2 linked regions of the Alligator mississippiensis genome follow. The protein of the gene in region 2 interacts with the protein of the main gene of each other region in a biochemical or structural test. Links are inferred from orthologs where the notes say so. Each region holds a gene or a part of one and is shown on either strand. Other genes may lie near its edges.

Region 1 (7,904 bases), on a different chromosome or scaffold from region 2:
AGTAAACTAGGAGCTGCATTTGGCTACGATACTCCTGCTGCAGCCTTCTTCCTCTGGGCACTGATGCCTTTTCATTACAAAGCTGAACCAGTCGGCGCTGTCCGTGAGGTCTGTGTGTCTGTGTTACAGAAATGGCCGCTCTCAAGACCATCCATCCACTGTCAGGGCTTCTGGGGTGAACTTCATTTCCATCGATAAGTGATGAAGAGGTTTGCTGGCTGTCGTTCAAAAACTTTCAGCTGGATGGATGCCACAGCTGGAGAGACATACACTTTAACTGGTAGGGAGTCACTGACAGACTCTGGCCCTATGTAGCTGTCAGTTAGCCCTCATCTTTCCCCATGCAATGGATCATCTCAGCCCATCTTCACTGTACCATTGACCCCAGCTGTTGCCCAGTTTTAGTGCAAATCTGCCTCCCCCGATACCCACACACAAGAACTTCTGACCTTGGTGTGGAACTGCTTTAAGCCGTGGCTAGCTTACCTAGCTGGGAGCAAAAGTTAGAAACTGGGCAGTGCTTTAGCTTGAGCTGGGACCAGTTCACCTTGTAGAGAAGGCTCCAGCTAAATCACTTGGCTGCTGGTAACTTCCCCACAGCTTTCCACAGGTCTCCACGCAGGACGGGCAAGGGAGATTGAGAGGAGATGCAATGGCATGGCCAAACTCTCTCAGTGCCAGTGAAACACTAAGATTATCATTTACATAAAAGTTTTCACAACGTTTTGTATCTCTTTGTATTTCAAAACATTTTTACAGGCAAGGGGTGTGAGCAGAGGTACTTCTCGCTGAGGGGAATGGGACATGGAAGCTGTAAGTGCAGCAGCCAGGGATTTGACAAAGTCCGTTTGCAACACAATAGCAAACAGACAAAGGGACTTCCTGGTAGGTTAGTAGATAATTGCTGAGAAATCCTAACTGTCAGTCACGTGACCAGGCCTTTATTGGCCTTGGCATGTCCATATTGGACTGCCGTGCACACCCCAGGCTTACCTCTTGCTCACAAGACTGAGCCCAGATGCTTGGATAGAAAGTAATAATTCATCCTTTTATGTTTGCATTACATTTGCATCAGCTAAATAATTTCCTTAGCATGACTAATTAGGCTGTGTGCAAGAGGTGAGCATGCCTACCAGCTGACAAAAGTGTCATGGTTTGGTGGGTCCTGTCCGGGTTGTTTCTTTGGAAGGAGGTAATAAAAAACTTAGCTGAGTGATAATGTGCTAAATAAGGTGCGGTTGAAGGAAGTGGGATGGGTCAGGGGACGTGGATGGCAGAACTTGGCCTTTCACTTCTAGGCAAATGATGCACAAATGCTCATTGGTTGGAGACTATGTTTTGAAAGCTGCTAGGTTACGTGTGTAAAATGAACTGGCAGCACAAGCCTGTTGCATCAGGCCATAAGCCAGACTTTACCTGGAAGCATTGGCTAACGCCACCCACATGCAGCAAGGTACTCAAGCACATGCTTGTTTTGCTGGATCCAGATCAGGTCTCTTAACTACAGCACCTTACTAGGCATCTATTTCACAGAAACCATCCTGCTGCCAGTCTCAGCAGCAGGGCCAAATGAACCAACCCTGGAAACCCCGACGAGCCCCTTCAGTGGAGAACACGGGCGTTCCCCCCGCTCTGCGACAAGCACGACCAGGAGGGGCAGACGGCGGTTTGCCGAAGGGAGCCCTGCAGCTCTCCAAGATTACTTACGTACCGACTGTCACGGAGACAATCAGATGACTTCTCTGCACACCGGTACTGATTTGGTTAGAATCACATGGATTCTAAGTCCATTACGACTGGCGTGTCTACCCACCAACTCAAAAGGATTTGACTAGCAAAATACCCCTTAAATCTCCCTGGAAGCCCTCAGGGACCAACCTTACTCAGCATAAATGCAGATTATTGCCTCTGTATTTACAAGCCACTACAGTTCTCCCTCCATCAGCACTTGCCCATTGTGGTAGCTGGTCAGGAATTTCTCAACAATACAGGTTCTTTTTTTAGTAGAAAATGCCGATTGATCAAATCCCAAACTATTCACAGGCTAGGACAGGTTGTGATACATTTCTAATTTAGAAAAACTTTTGGAGGGGGGAAAAACTGAAAAAATGTCAAATTTTGACATTGTGCAAATGACAAATCCTAGTTCTGATTTGCACCACCTTTTTTTAAGATAATGTAATTAATTTATAGAAAAAATGTAAATCAAGACAGACAAATCAAAACTCTCAATGTAAGGTATTGACATTATTGGAGCAGAACAGTTTGTTTGCCCAATCTGATTTTTCCCCCCCAGATATTTGATGGATACAGTTTGTTGAGGTTTTTGAAGTCCAGGACAGGAAGAATTTTCAAAAGGGTCTTTTCTCCCCTACTATCTCCCTTTAAAGAGAAGAACGGCAGGGTGTTTGAAGGGAACAAAGAGTTAGTCATTGCTTAGTACAACTAGGAGTCCTTCCCTATTCACGCCCTCCCCTGGCCTCACCTTTTGTGGCACTGCGAGAGGCAGGCAAGGCTGTATTGCTGACGGGAGAAGGGAACGTGCGCTCGGTCACATACGCAGGGAGAGACGCCCCCTCCCCTCCGCTCCGCTCCCCTCTCCTCCCCTCCTCTCCCACCTCCTGGCATTTCCCAAAGTTGTATTGTCTCTAGATTTGGGAATCATCTGAATCCAGATGCCCAGTTTTAAAAGTCTGAGAATGGAAAAATTATTAATCTTGTCTAATCAAAGCAGAAAGCAAGTGCTCCAGGGGCCTGTGCAGCATGCTCCCCTTGCAGACGGGGGTTTTGCTTAGTACCGGGGGAAAGGAAGGGGCCCCAGTGTCCAGCGTGGAGCATGGAAGTGATCCAGGGGAACCGATGCTGGGGGGATCTTTCCTCAGAGAGGAAGGAAAGGTACAAAATGCTGTAGCGCGCCAGGGTCCAGATGGAGATGTGAGAATTAAAAATATGCACAAAGTTGACGTGTGTTTGTCTCATGCTTCAGGCCCTCGGGCTGCCTCCGACAGGAATTACCTTTAATCCGTTAAGTTGCTAATTACACACCATGGTGTTTTTTGACTCTTGATCTGAAACAGGCGTTGCTGGCCAATGTCAGAGCCAGGATCTGGCCACGAGCGGGAGATCCTGTGCTGTCAGGATGACTTTTGTCGGCAGTCAGGATGATGGTGCAGATTCCCACGCGGGGTGTTGTGCCTTACATAAAAGCGTGTAAAGCACCCGTAGGTCGCTGCCACGCTGTGCGACGTCCCCGAGTTTACCAAACCAAGTTGTGTAAGCGACTCACGGCGCTCAAACATTTCCAAGAGCTCCAGCCACAGGAAATTAAACTGCAGGTCCTTGCGCGGCACATTCCCAGGCACGCTCAGGGCTGAATCTGTAGCAGATTTCCCAACGCCAATCAAACCTACATGCCAAGAGCTCGGCTGCGCTCCCCCCACCCCATACATCAGCATTCACCTCCTTCCCCGCAAGATTTGTTTCTGCTCAGCGATGGCGAGAAACGTTGGGTGCCGTCTTGGCGGAGTGGGGAAGGGTGCTGCCGCTTGAGGGGAGCAGGGCAGGGAAAGCAAGTCTCGCTGTTTGCAAGCCAGGCCGGCCTCGCTGCCACCTGAGCGGGGCGTGCGCCCGCCCCACGCCCGGCCACGCCAGGGCGAGGCGAGGCTGCGGCCTAGCGCCGGGCAAAGCGGGGAGCTCCCGTGTCCGGACCCATCGCTGGGAGCCACCGGCACAACCGACCCCGCCAGGGCCCCGCGGCCCGGGGAGACGGGCAGTGCCGGAGCGGGCGCTGCCGTCCTCGTGCCCTCGCACCCGCGCTGTTTTGGGCGGTGTGGGGAGAGTGAAGCCGGGCGAGGCGAGGCGAGGCGAGGCGGGCGGGCGAGGTGGGCCGGGGGCCTGCTGCGGGGAAAGGCCCCGCGGTCCCTGCACACCCCCTGCCCCCCGGCAGCAAAGGACTCGGCACCGGACGGAGCGAGCGGCTGTGGGGCAGGGGCAGGCCCCTGGGCTGGGAGCCCCTCTGCGCCCGCCCGCAGGAGACCGGGCCGGGGCGCGCGGCATGGCGTGGCGCGCTGCGCTGCACGAGGAAACACATCGGACCCCGACACGGGGCACACGCACACATGTACCCACACACGTGTTCTTTTATTTCTGTGTGTGTCTACACACACACACACACACACACACACACACACACACACACACACACAGTGACACATTCGCAGGCACACGCGCAGGCCCACGCGCATGCGCACGCTCTCTTTCATGCCCTCTCTCCCCCTTCTCCCGCGCGCGGCAGGCGGCGGCGGGGGGGGGCGGGCGCGCGGCGGTGACGGGCGGCGGGCGCAGCCAACCAGGGCGCGCTCCGCGCCGGCTGTCCGCACACCCCCGCCACACCCCCGCGCCGCCAGCCAATGGGCGCGCGCCGCCCGGCCGCGCACTTAAGCGGGTCGTGGCGGGCCGGGCAGCGGCGGCAGCAGTAGGAGCGGCGCGGTCCCGGTCCTCGTCTCGGTCCCGGTCTCGGTCCCTGCGGCGCGATGGAGTCGGGCAGCAAGGTGAGCCGCCGCGCGGCACCGCCCCGGCCCGGCCCGGCCCGGCGGGCTCCTGCACCCAGACTTGCCGGGAAGGCCCGTGCTCGGCCCCGGCGCCGGCGCCGCGTGTCGGGGGAGGCGGCGGACGGGACAGGCGGGGGCGTCGCTCCGTGGCCGGCGCTCCCGGGCGGGCCGCCGCGCTGGCCGGGGCCGGGCCCTGCGCCGCTCCCCCCGTCCCCTCCCCTCGCTCCGGCCGAGGAGCTCCGCCGAGCCCCGGATGGGCGCGGAGCAGGCGGCCCGCACGTGGCCCCGGCGGCGCCTGCAGGGAGCGGCGTCCTTCCCCCCCGGGGCCGAGCGGGGCAGGAGTCTGGAGCCGCCGCGGTCGCGGTCCCGGTCCCGGTCGCGGTCAGAGAGGAGGGGGAGGTTGGAGACAGTTGGAGAAACGCTGATGTTTCCGAATAAAAGAAGACCGGCCATTTCCTTAAGGAGCGGCCGCCTAAACCTTTCCACGTCCCGGCTCGCTTTTCCTTGGAAGGGAAGCGTTTAGAAAGCCAAACCCGCCCGCGCCACGTCTGCCGCCGTGGGCCGTGGCGACGTGTCCGTGGATGCGCCGGTGGGACCGCGCCCCGCGTGTCCCGTTGCAGCCCGCTCCGAGTGTCCGACCCCGTGGGAAAAGTAAAACCGGTGCCGTTCAGTAATGGGAAGGGATTGCTCTTTCTGGGTGTCTGACTGGAAGAAGGAAGGTGCTGTCTGTCTGTCTGTCTGTCGCAGCGCTGGGGCCAGAGGCTTTGGTTTGGTTTCTTGTAACTCGGGGCGGTCCGTCCCACCCCCCCCCCCCCGCCCGCCCGCCCGGCGGGGCAGCTGCGATACTTTCTGACACCGGTTCCGCATATCTCTCTTCTGCAAACAGAGCAGTCTTAAGGTGCCTTGAAATAGGCGTTCAGGACTAGTCGCTTTTAAAAACCTTGGCCAGGGATTCGGTGCGTAGTTTGCGCCTCTCCCCTTTTAAACTAAACTGCAACAGCAAGGGCACCTCTGCTCGGGGACGTGGGCATCATGTGGCTGATCCATATTTAACCTGGAGAGAGCGCAGTGGAAAGATCCTGGTGGTGTGCACGTATCGCTAGTGGAGCCGCGTGATAACTGGTGTGGTATCAGGCTGCCTAGCACACCTGCGAGTCGCTGCAGTCTCCTTCCGTGAGACCTCGCTATGCAAACAATCAGTGTGGCAATCCTACTGACGTCACGCTGTCCTGTCACAGCCGCCTGAAATCCTTCCTTGTTTCCTGGTCGCTCCAAATGTGGGAAGCGCGATGTTTTGTTAGAAACCCTTAGCCCCCGGGGTGGTGGGGACCGCTCGGGCCCAGCACCGAGCGGAGGAAAGCACCTCTCTCGGTAGCAGGAGCTGCCTCTCAGGCCCGTCGTGGGTGGGAGAGCGCTTTGTGCGCTACCAGCCTTCGAAAACTTACTGATCATTTTCTAACAATGCTGTTGTAGGAGGTTTTCAAACCTGGCTGCTTTTCGCATCCCCCGGGGCTATGCAGTGCAGTACTCGTACGATACAGTCCCGCGTGCCTGTCTGATGTGGTTGAATGACTTGGGCAGAGTAGCCTGGACATGGGAGATCACCCGCAGAAAGGTGCCCAGCCGCGTGGACGGGGGCAGGCCTCGAGTCCGGACCCCCTGGTCTTGTCACTCGCTTGCCCGTGACCCCAGGCAAGTTGTGGGAGACTTGAGCGCAAGTCACTTCTTCGTACCCGTGGGTGGATTTCTCTGGGGTTGTCTCAAAAGACAGATTTGCCACAATGTGCAATGAAAGCCTCGACTTTTTTTAAAGCAGAGTTCTTGTTTTCTGGCCACCCTAACGGAGGGGGGTTGGTTAATGCCTGTGGGCTCTGCTAGCAAAAGGTGTGAAGGATTTTGGGGTGAACATGGGCCAGCTCCCGCCACCTCCCCTTAAAACCGCTGAATCAGTGGGGAGGTGGATCAGGCCTGCGCCAGGGAAGGGGCTGGCAGCTGCCCGCATCTCCTGAGACCAGCAGATTTAGCCACACTTCTGCACATTCAGTTTTTCCAGGGACTGTCAGCACGTGATCTTGTAACAAGGTTTCCATAAGCGCATATAGAAAAATACAGTGATCTGCCTCTAGCCCCCTAAAGAGAGCTCGGCCTTCTTCGGCAAACAACATGCGCATCTGTCTGCCAAGCTGCAGCCACGTATTTATGGGCGCTCTCCCCCTGGCTGCTCAGGTGCCTGCTCTCCGGGCTAGCTAACGTACCCACGTGGGAAGTATTTGGGGCCATGATAGCGTCCATCCGAAACCCGGATTAAAGCCCAGGGGCACGGATCATACCAGCGATACTGGGGAGATCCTGCTCCGTGCTGTTCTTCGGGGACGTCAGTAGGAGCCAGCTGAACCCAACACTTCTACCTCTTCTCCCCCTCGTGTAAGTCCTGCCTGGACTGGTCTTTGCGTGGCCAGAAGCAGAGGGTCAGCGCAGTTTGTCCGTGTCCCGGCAAAAAGGGGCACCTGGGACTTGTGGGGCTGCTGTAGTAACACAGCCAACAACGTGGCACCACCTGCAGCTCCTCCAAGATGGAGTTTCCTGGGTAGTTGAAAGTAGCTGCAGTCACCGGCGCAGCCCGGTTCAGCGCCCGGGGCTTGCCACGGACTGGGCTCTCAGGTTACATCAGCTCAGTGCCCTTAAAGTGGCATGCCATCCCAGGCAGCCTCAGACTGGCACCCCACAGTGCGTGCACCCGGGCCAGGGGGGTGGCGTGTCGGCAGGCATGGGCCCTGGAGGCTCTGCGAGTGCTTGCCTAGCTGAGTGCCAGGTGGGAACCATGCCCTCCGAGTGTACGTGTGACGGAGAAAGGATGCACTGTGCGAGAGAGCAGGATGAGTGCGCGCCCGGCAACCTGTGCAGCACAGGATGCAGCTCTTTTAGGCGAGAGCTCGGCCGCTGGGTCAAAAAAAAGATGTGGGAGAGGGGAAGGGTGGAACAAATCAGCAGCTGAAACCTGCAGAGGAAACCACAACTACTGAGGCTGAAACAACTTTGCGCCCCTGTCCCACCCTGGCCCCAGGAAGTGCAAAGGTTGTCTGTGTGTCCTCTTTCTTCCTCTACTCAAATGCAGGGCTGGGTGCTCCTGGCAGTTCGAGGGAGCCTGTCTTGGGTGCTGCAGTTCTGCAAACGCCTGGGCCCAGTGACCTTCTTTTCACCCCCTTGCCACAGTCCCAGGGTAGCGTGAGGTGTTCGTCTCACTGGGGTTGGACTGCAGATATGGCGTGCTGGGGCGCTGTGATCACCTTGGCTTGAATGAGCTGCATCTGCCTCGGAGCCAGCAATCTGGTCCTCTTGATGCTGGGGCGACTT
Region 2 (8,529 bases):
CATCCAGAAGGGGAGTGGTGGGGCTCTCCAGGCGGTGATCTTCAGACACAATGTCTAGGTAGCATGGGGGTGCTGGAAGAGGAGACACTTGTGAGCTGTGATACAAGTTTCAGCTTTATTCCTACTACAAATAAACCAATCCAAGTTCTCTCCCCCACCCCTAGGCCTTGTCCTGAATCCCTGCTATGCAACACCGTAACTGTTCCTACCAGGGTCTTCCTGGAAGGTTGGACCAGCCACCCTCTGCCCTTCTTTGCCAAACAAAAAATGTTCCCCTGAACAGCGCACCCAGCTCACCTTCTGGAGCATCAGGGAGGTTCAGGTCCACCCAGCTCATTTCAGAGCTTGTCTGACTGGCCATGCTGGAACTGCGGCTGCCAATCCCAGATCTGCTGCCAATGACGAGAGGCAGTTCCAGGATGATCTTCTTGGAGCCAGGGACACTCACATAGATCTGCAAAAATGAGATGAAGAGATGGTTAGGAATGACATCACCCTTCCTCTGTTGCATTAAAGCCTGTATAAGATTCCTAATGGAAAGGGAGTGACATGGCTAAACTGTAAATTTAGTGCAATGCCATGTCTATTCCACTGGCTTGTGAGACCACTGCAGGTATCAAAGCCCTGAAAGAAACTCCAAAGAGCAAATCTAAGGGAGGAGAGGGGTCCCTGGCAGGACAACTGCACATGCTATGTTCCCCGATGATGGGCCTGGTGTGGAAGAGAGATCCTTCAGTACCCACGACCCTTACCTGCAGGAAGTACTCCACGCGCAAGATGTTGCAGCCCAGGATAGAGGGTTTGATCTTCCTGACACGGATTGTTTTGCCCCGCCAGGTGTCAGACATGCCCGAGATGATGTGGTTGCCACGCACACAGGAGAGTTTCTGAACGAAAACTTTGGTCTCGCCATTTGCTAGGTAGGTGTGCTTGGAAACGATGGCTGCCTTGGGTACCACGATGCGGGAGCATGTGTTCTCAAAGTCTGCATTGATGCAGATTTCATCCCCTGAAAGAAGACAGGATTGTTTAGTTACAGGGAAGGTCTTACCCACGGTGGAGATGATTCTCTTACAGCTTATTCATGGCGAAGTCTACACTGGTTAAAGCAGAGAAGCCCAATCTAATTGGGAAGTTTCTCTGATTCACAGCCCACTTCCCTTGCTCAGTAGTATCACATGGTTCAATGTCATGCCCTTCTCCTCCCCTCTTGCTCAGAGCAATGCTCTTTTCAAGCACTGTCCCATTCAGCCCCCTCATCTCCCAGTCCTCCTGGGAAGCCAGGCTCACCTTCGCAGAACCCCTTCCTGTCAATCCTGGCACTGACAGACACATGGCCATCAGGAAAGAACATGCAGGACACCTTCTTCTCCTTCTTGGCAGAGACGGGAGACTGGAAAAGATTCAGAGGGATTTGGTTACAACAAATGAAGACAGCCTGTTGTGTGCGCCCTATTCTATCCTGTCCATATCCTGCCAGACTGCTGCCATAACATTTTGTATTCCATGCGGTTTAATTTGCATCTCCAGGTAGATTCCAGTGTCCTGTTTCATGGACACTCACTGATGTACATAGCTCAAGAGAAAGGTAACCCATCTCAAACAACTAACCTAGACTTCCATTAGGGCTTTGAGCAATATGGAGCACTCATCTCCTTAGGAGACAATACTTAATCTGCCCTGGAACTGTAAAATTTACATACATAGCAAATATCCCTCTGAACCACCTCTAGCAAACAGCCCCACCATTGCCCCAACAACACCCAAGAATATAACAATTACCAGTAGATCTGGAGTGTTGATGTCAACAGGGTCCTGGACCTCAAAATGCTTCTTTGTCTCCTGAGGTGGGACTGATGGGCGCTCCAAGAAAGCCTTCACCCAGTAATCTACACAGCCGTACTTCCCTTTGAAGGTAGTACCAAGGGGTCTGCAATACAAGAGGAGCTCATTAAAAACACACGCACAAATAACAACCGAGGGAATTTTGTCACAAGGCTAGCATTTCTGATGCCGTGTTTGATCAATACCTACCCTTGAGGAAGCTCAAATCCAAACTTGTATTCGTATTTGTTCCCAGGTCTCAAGATCACAGAGCCATCCTCATCTGCAATGGGGGAAAAAAAAAGAGAGAGGAAGTTAAAAACCTCAAGTCTTGCTGCATGTTCTCAGCTTTGTCACAACATCCTGTCTCAGCAGAAACAACACAAGTGCCAAAGTTTGCTGTGCTGGGTATAATCTATGCTGTTACTTAGAAACGTTCTGAAAAACTTCTGCTATATTGCCATTGCAATCTTTTCGTGCTTCTTAATCATCCTCTTAAGTAAGGACTCAGAGCTGGCCTCTACATCCTCCCTCCCACCAAATAATCCACTGCAAATCTCTATCTGGGCCAATAAAGAAGTTGGAAAACTATCCAAGGCATTTCACATCATCCCTGGTCTTGCCTGTCACTCTTTTACACACAACCCTGCCAAGCGGGGAAGCTGTGCCTTCTTCCAACCTGCCTCGGGGGCGGGAGTAACTCCCTGTGCCAGAGAGCCAGGAAATCACAGCGCCCATCACTCCCTGTGCCAAGAGAGGAGCGGCTCCCCAGCTGTAACACCTGTCCTGCATACTGTACTCGCACACTGTAATTACTTCGCCTCTCCATGCAGCTCAGGAAGCTTGTTCACAATACAGCTACCCTGCCAATAACATTCGCTCCCATCCTTTGGGGATGCTACTCCTGCCGCATCAACCTCTTTAAGGTCTTCGCTGCCGGCTGCAATCTCCCAATTGTCACTACACCCCCCGAGTTTTGTTACTCCTCTGTCTCAAACTTTAGACACGCTTCCTACAGCAGACCAACTAAGGCTCTCTGCTAGTTTATCCAGGTCCAAATGAATCATTAAGATACTTCTAGGACCTTTTTGCCAGGACATAACCACAAAACCTCAAAATACTGGAGTAAAAAAAAGAGCCGCTAGCAGAGCCAAGTGCCAAAAACAACCACAGATAAAGCCCTACTTGGCTGCCAAGTATCCTATTGTGTTAAAACACCCCAGCACCTCCAATATTACTCAATCCAACCTTTCATTTTTGATCTAACCCTGCTTTAAAAGCATTTTTGGGCAAAAAAGAGGCTTTTTTGGGGGCAGAAGAGCCCTACAATTTAGGTCGTATTATTTAGGTCTCGGGTTCTCACCAGTGGGTTTGTCATCCAGGGTCAGGACGTCCTCGTAGCGGAGGTACTCCATCTCCTGCTTGCAGTGGTGGGGGCCCTTGGCCCAGTTGACCTTGGCCACGCCACAGGCCAACACCTTCATGGCTGTGACTCGGGTGACGTCGGTCACTTCCACCAGCACACGGCCGGCCACTTTCTCCCCGCTGAAGTAGACCTTGCCGGGCTCGCTGAAAACCAGCTCGAAAGTCTTGATCTTCTTGAACATCACCATGGTGGCAGGAAAGTTGGCTTGGTTTAGACGGGACTAGGAGAGGAAGGGGGCTAAGGCTCAACTGGAATGGCCAAAATACAAGGGAAAAAACCCCAAAAGCCTGGGGCTTGGAATTGAATGGTATCAAAAATCGTGCAGAAAAAAAGAAAAAAGCTATTTTTTTTTTAGATTGCTGGCTGAAAAATTAAGCCCCTTTTTAGTTTTTGGCCTGGGCGCTGGAATCCGAGGGAAGGGAGCAGAGATGCCGTCTGTGGTATTCTGGCCGCAGCTCAGCAGCAAGGAGCTCCGCTCTGCTCGGAGCCTGCCAGGCTTTGCGCCAAGACGCGCCGGATGCGGCGCTTTTATACTCTCAGCCTCCCCGCACTTCGGTTGTTGATCACCTCCATGCCACGCTGAGGGCGCGTGGAAGCGTGCTGCTCGCGTGATCAGCGCTCCCATTGGCTGCCGCTGCCTTGTTTACGTGCTCGCCGGCCAATCGGCGCGCCGGCCGCGGAGCGTGGACAGTGTGTGAAGAGATGCAGGGTTCTGAAGGGGGTGGGGTGATGCGCGGAGTGACGCAGCGGGAGGCCAATGAGAGGCGAAGCTGAGAGGCTCTCGGAGCCAATCAGGCTCCTGGGCTGTGAGGGGATTTTTTTTTTTTTTCTTTTCTTCTGTGACTCGGGAGTGTCACGTCACGGGGGGGGTTCCTTGCCAGGGGTTCCCCTGTGGGGGTGGCTGCTCCCAGCCCCGACCCCCCAAATCCTGTACTGATAATAGAGGCAGCCCAAAATCACGTGTCCTTCCCCCTCACAGCTGCTGTGGGGGGAGCAGTACACCCCCCCTCCCTTATAGCTGCTATGGGGGAGCAGTACAGACCCCCTGCCCCTCAGAGCTGCTATGGGGGTGCAATACGCAGCCCCCCATTCCCTTCAATGGCTCCATGCAGGCCAATAGCTCAGCCCCCTCGGCGCAGGGTCCCCGATAGGGGTGGTTTGACAGCCCCTCAGCGCCATCCCTTCCACCCAGCGCGGGAGGGCGGCCCACCCCCTTACACGCGCTGTGCCGGCTGTCTGAAGCCCCCCACTATCTCCACCGTGGCTGTGGGAAGGCAGGTCCTCTTTCCCTCTGCTCCTCACGCGGTTTAGGCACCATTTGAGGCCTCCAGCGTCTCCCTTCAAATGCTACATGGCAGCCCATAGCCCCCCATAATATCCCCCCACACACATATTGCCCCCCCGGCCTCCCCTCACACAGTGCTGGGGCTGGGTAGTCAGTCCCCCCAAATCTATACCGCACACCATGACTGGATTTGGGGGGGGTCAATCCTCTGTAACTCTTCAATTGAACTCCAAATCCTCCCCCATGCTCCAAAAGATACCACCCTGGACACCCGCATTGATTGCAAAAAGGGGCATCGCTAGACTTCCCCTCCAAAAAACCCCATTTCTCCTTTAATCACGTTGGGACTATCTGAGATTTGCACAAGTCCCCCCCCTCCCCCCCAGCCCTTTGCTTGTGTTACACCATGTTGCCACGCGCCGTACGAGGGTGACTGCTTGCTGCGCAGGAAATCAAAGGCAGCGATGTGAAAAACAGGAGACAATTGCTTATTTGTTAGGAGCACGATGTTTAGCTCTCGGGCTGGGCGAATCCTTGGGAAATGGGCTTTTTGCCCGATCAGGTCCCAGCTCCCTGAAGAACGTGCTTCATGCGACATTCGGCACAAAATAAAAACCTCCCCCCCGCCTTTAGGGAAGGAGCGAATGTAGGGCTCATGTCGTTCTGCCTACGCAGCACCTCTCAGGGTTTTGCCAGGCTTTCACCCCGTTTCTAAACCGCTGTGGCCCGTTTTGGGATAGTTTGAAAAGCGGTTTTCTTCTCGCAGTAACTGAGTTCACACAAAAAGCCATGTTAAAAATGGGTTGTAAGTAGCAAAACGCACATTTTAGGAGCAGGATTAGGGGAAATCAAGAAACTTCCTTTTGCATCTAAACTTGTGCCCCTTCCCTAGGAGAAGTAGCGTAAGTCACCAGGATAGTTATGCTGTTTTGCTGCCTTTTGCCCCCTGTGTCTGTGCATTGCAGTAATGAAGCTGGCATTTCTGTCTTCTGCCTTACGCTGCAATTCGGTGTATGTATCCACCCCTGGCCATCTTCATGTGTTAGGGCATAAACTGATCACCTGCTCTTTTAAAGAAGGAATTTCCTCTTGATGACAGAGCACTGTGCGATTACAGTCGACCAATAGAGGAAGGACTGCACCTTTTCCTGAAACCTCTAGTGTCAGCCAAGCATACTAGGGCTCTGCATCAGTACGATAAGAAGAGGGATATTGAGCTATGGGGGCCATAGACCTGATCTAATTTGGCAGGTGGTGGAATATGGAGATAAATAGCCAATAGGCTGGATAGCGGCAGGCTGTAGGATAAGGGATTAGATGGACTGTTGGTCTGGATAAAATGCCATGTTCCTTATCAGAATACGCTGCATTCCTTTAAGTGCATTAAATCCAGCTTCTTTGGCTCCCTTTAGTGCAGGTGTCGGCCCAACGACGTACTGCTTTTTGGCAGTACAGTCAGGCCCTTGCAAAACTGCAGTGTGTTGCTGCTTTCTCTCAGACTGCGACACTGCACATACCACAGATGTCAAAGGACATTTTAACTCTGGGCCAGGCAGCCAGCCAGTGCGGCGATCCAAGGCACGTTCCCAAAACTGAATCCTGTCCAGCCTTGCTTTTCTGCCAACCTGTTTTTGACCTTTAGCTCCCCTGACCCTAATCTGACTGAAGATGCCTCACTATCACACGGGTAGGGGAGCATCTCAGGATGGGACTCTGTATTCAAAAGTTTTCCATTATGGACAGTATATTAGAGCTTCTCAGATAACAAAGGTTCAAGGTGGCCTATATAGTTTGGGAAGTCTAGCATTTTCTTCTTTACCAAGCTATTTTGGCTTGTAAAATACAGTCGTTAGTTTATCACATCATTTCCAAAGAGAAGATGCCAGACAGAAGCCTAGTGAAATCACTGAAGGGAGATCAGTGCCAATAAACTGCCCGACTACGGTAACACCTCTGTTGGACAGTGCTTTACGGCTCTGTCTGCTCTGTGCTTTGCTAACTAAGCTGATTTTGAACACGGTTCAAATCAGCTAATGCAGCTCAAACACAGTAGGGATAGAGCCACTGAAAGCACATTTCAAAACCACATACTATTCCTGGTCCTCTGGAGCTGCTTTCTGCTCCTTGCTGCTCTGAGTCCTTACTATAATCAAGATTGGATGCACAAGATTACTCATGAAATCTTTATTACCTGGTCTAAAAACCTTGACATTGATCACAGTCAGAAAAAGCTATTGTCCGTGTCACAGGCAGAAATCAGTGGCATGTCTCTTCAGTGGGCATGTCTACAGGTGCACAATTACTGTACAGTAATTAGGTAACCAAAATCACTGCACAGTACAGGTGCACATCTATACTGCGCAGCAACTATAGTGACTTACGCTTACTCGGGTGTAAATTTGCTACCTGCATGATACAGGTAGCAAATTTATGCCCGATTAGTTACTGCACAGTAAGGCATGTGTAGATGCCTTACTATGCATTAACACTGCGTGTGTAGATGGACTTGGGACTAACTTTAGGCCCAAGTCAGTCCACACACAGCATTACTGCTCTGTAATGCCTGCGTGTGTAGACGCTGGCCTAAAAACCACTTACTGTGGAGTAATTTACTGTGCGGTAAATTACTGCGCAGTAAATGCATGTGTAGATGCACCCAGTGTGTCCTTTGTTTCACTGCAGATGGTGTGGCTCCCGTCTTTGACTGTTGCTAGAAGCAGCCTGTGACTTGGTTGCAAGTGGCTGTTACCATGCGCAGAACTCCAAGGAGTTTTGATGATGATGTTTCCATGAGATATATTTTAGCCATATAAGGTTTCCTCCAGGAAGGTCAGGAAGGGGACTAACAAGCCACTCACAATGGCCCAAGAACAAAACTCGACTGTCATGCACAGGGCGGGGTTGAGAAGGAATACTGAAAAAACCACTTCCTCTGACAGGACTGGGAGTAAGAGAGTAAAAGAAGCACAGAAGACATACATTTTCACAGCATGAGCAGGGAGCTGAGTTTTGCAAGCCCCACATGCGTGGCATTGCTTGTTTCTTGTCACCACTACATGATAAGTGCCTAAAGGAAGCTGGTTCCTGCAGGGACATCTCTTTTCTATTCATCACTGACCCTGGCTGTCTTTCCTCATCATCACACAAACCCTGGGATGATTCAGAGCCCAGCCCAGAGCCCCATTCTTCTCCAGCAATGGGGTATTAGGAGCAATGACTGCCTGGGCTCAAAATATAGCAGAGATAGACATATTCTGCTTCGCCTTCCTGAACAGGAAGAGCACACACCAACTGCTGAAGCTTCCTTAGCCTGACGAAGGGTTTCTGAACCCGAAAGCTTGCTTAATAACTATTCTCCAACCATTTGGGTTGGTCTAATAAAAGATATCAAATTCACCCAAGGAACCTTGTCTGCCTATGAACAGAAATGAGACATTTCTCATTGTAAGAGCCTTGTTGCATGGTAACTTGGGGTAGCTCTTAGAGCTCTTAACCCCTGGACTGTGTGCACATTAACACCTTAAAAGTTTTTAGGGATATATTTGGTAGTTGTGCGGGTCTGAGCCAAAAGAAATGCAAAGCTCTAAAACTCTTGGTGCAGAGATGATACCTTTTATTAGACCAACTAAGAAATCACAAAAAAAAAAAAACCCTGCAAAAAAATTATAAAGATAACTTTTTTTTTGCGATTTCTTAGTTGGTCTAATAAAAGGTATCATCTCTGAATCAAGAATTTTAGAGTTTGGCGTTTCTTAAATGGTTTTAAGTACTTGTTATGTGGGTTAAAGTTACACCACTCTAGGACAGGGGTCTCTCTCAACTGCACTACCCAGCTCCCGTTCCATTGCGATGTGGCCAGCCCCTAAAAGTCCTCCAGGATCCCAGGATATCTCCCACTCCTGTCCCTAGGGCAGGGACCGAATCCTGTCCTGGATCACCAGCCCTCTAGTGACCACTCACAGCTACAGCTGCAGGTCCTGCCCCTGCTCACCAA

What was found.
Region 1: the proteins of TXNIP (region 2) and SLC2A1 form a complex in vitro, tested with the Homo sapiens proteins (2 studies listed by BioGRID). The link is inferred for Alligator mississippiensis from reciprocal best matches to the Homo sapiens genes TXNIP and SLC2A1.

What each region holds. Positions count from the first base shown.
Region 1 is NC_081836.1:1,295,135-1,303,038, forward strand, and holds the start of SLC2A1 (solute carrier family 2, facilitated glucose transporter member 1), read left to right. Parts: upstream 1-4,426; 5' UTR 4,427-4,532; coding exon 4,533-4,550; intron 4,551-7,904. UniProt on the Homo sapiens protein: Facilitative glucose transporter, which is responsible for constitutive or basal glucose uptake. Has a very broad substrate specificity; can transport a wide range of aldoses including both pentoses and hexoses.
Region 2 is NC_081838.1:17,944,799-17,953,327, forward strand, and holds the start of TXNIP (thioredoxin-interacting protein), read right to left. Parts: upstream 3,762-8,529; 5' UTR 3,438-3,761; coding exon 3,188-3,437; intron 2,108-3,187; coding exon 2,035-2,107; intron 1,931-2,034; coding exon 1,783-1,930; intron 1,394-1,782; coding exon 1,291-1,393; intron 1,010-1,290; coding exon 753-1,009; intron 455-752; coding exon 298-454; intron 73-297; coding exon 1-72. UniProt on the Homo sapiens protein: May act as an oxidative stress mediator by inhibiting thioredoxin activity or by limiting its bioavailability.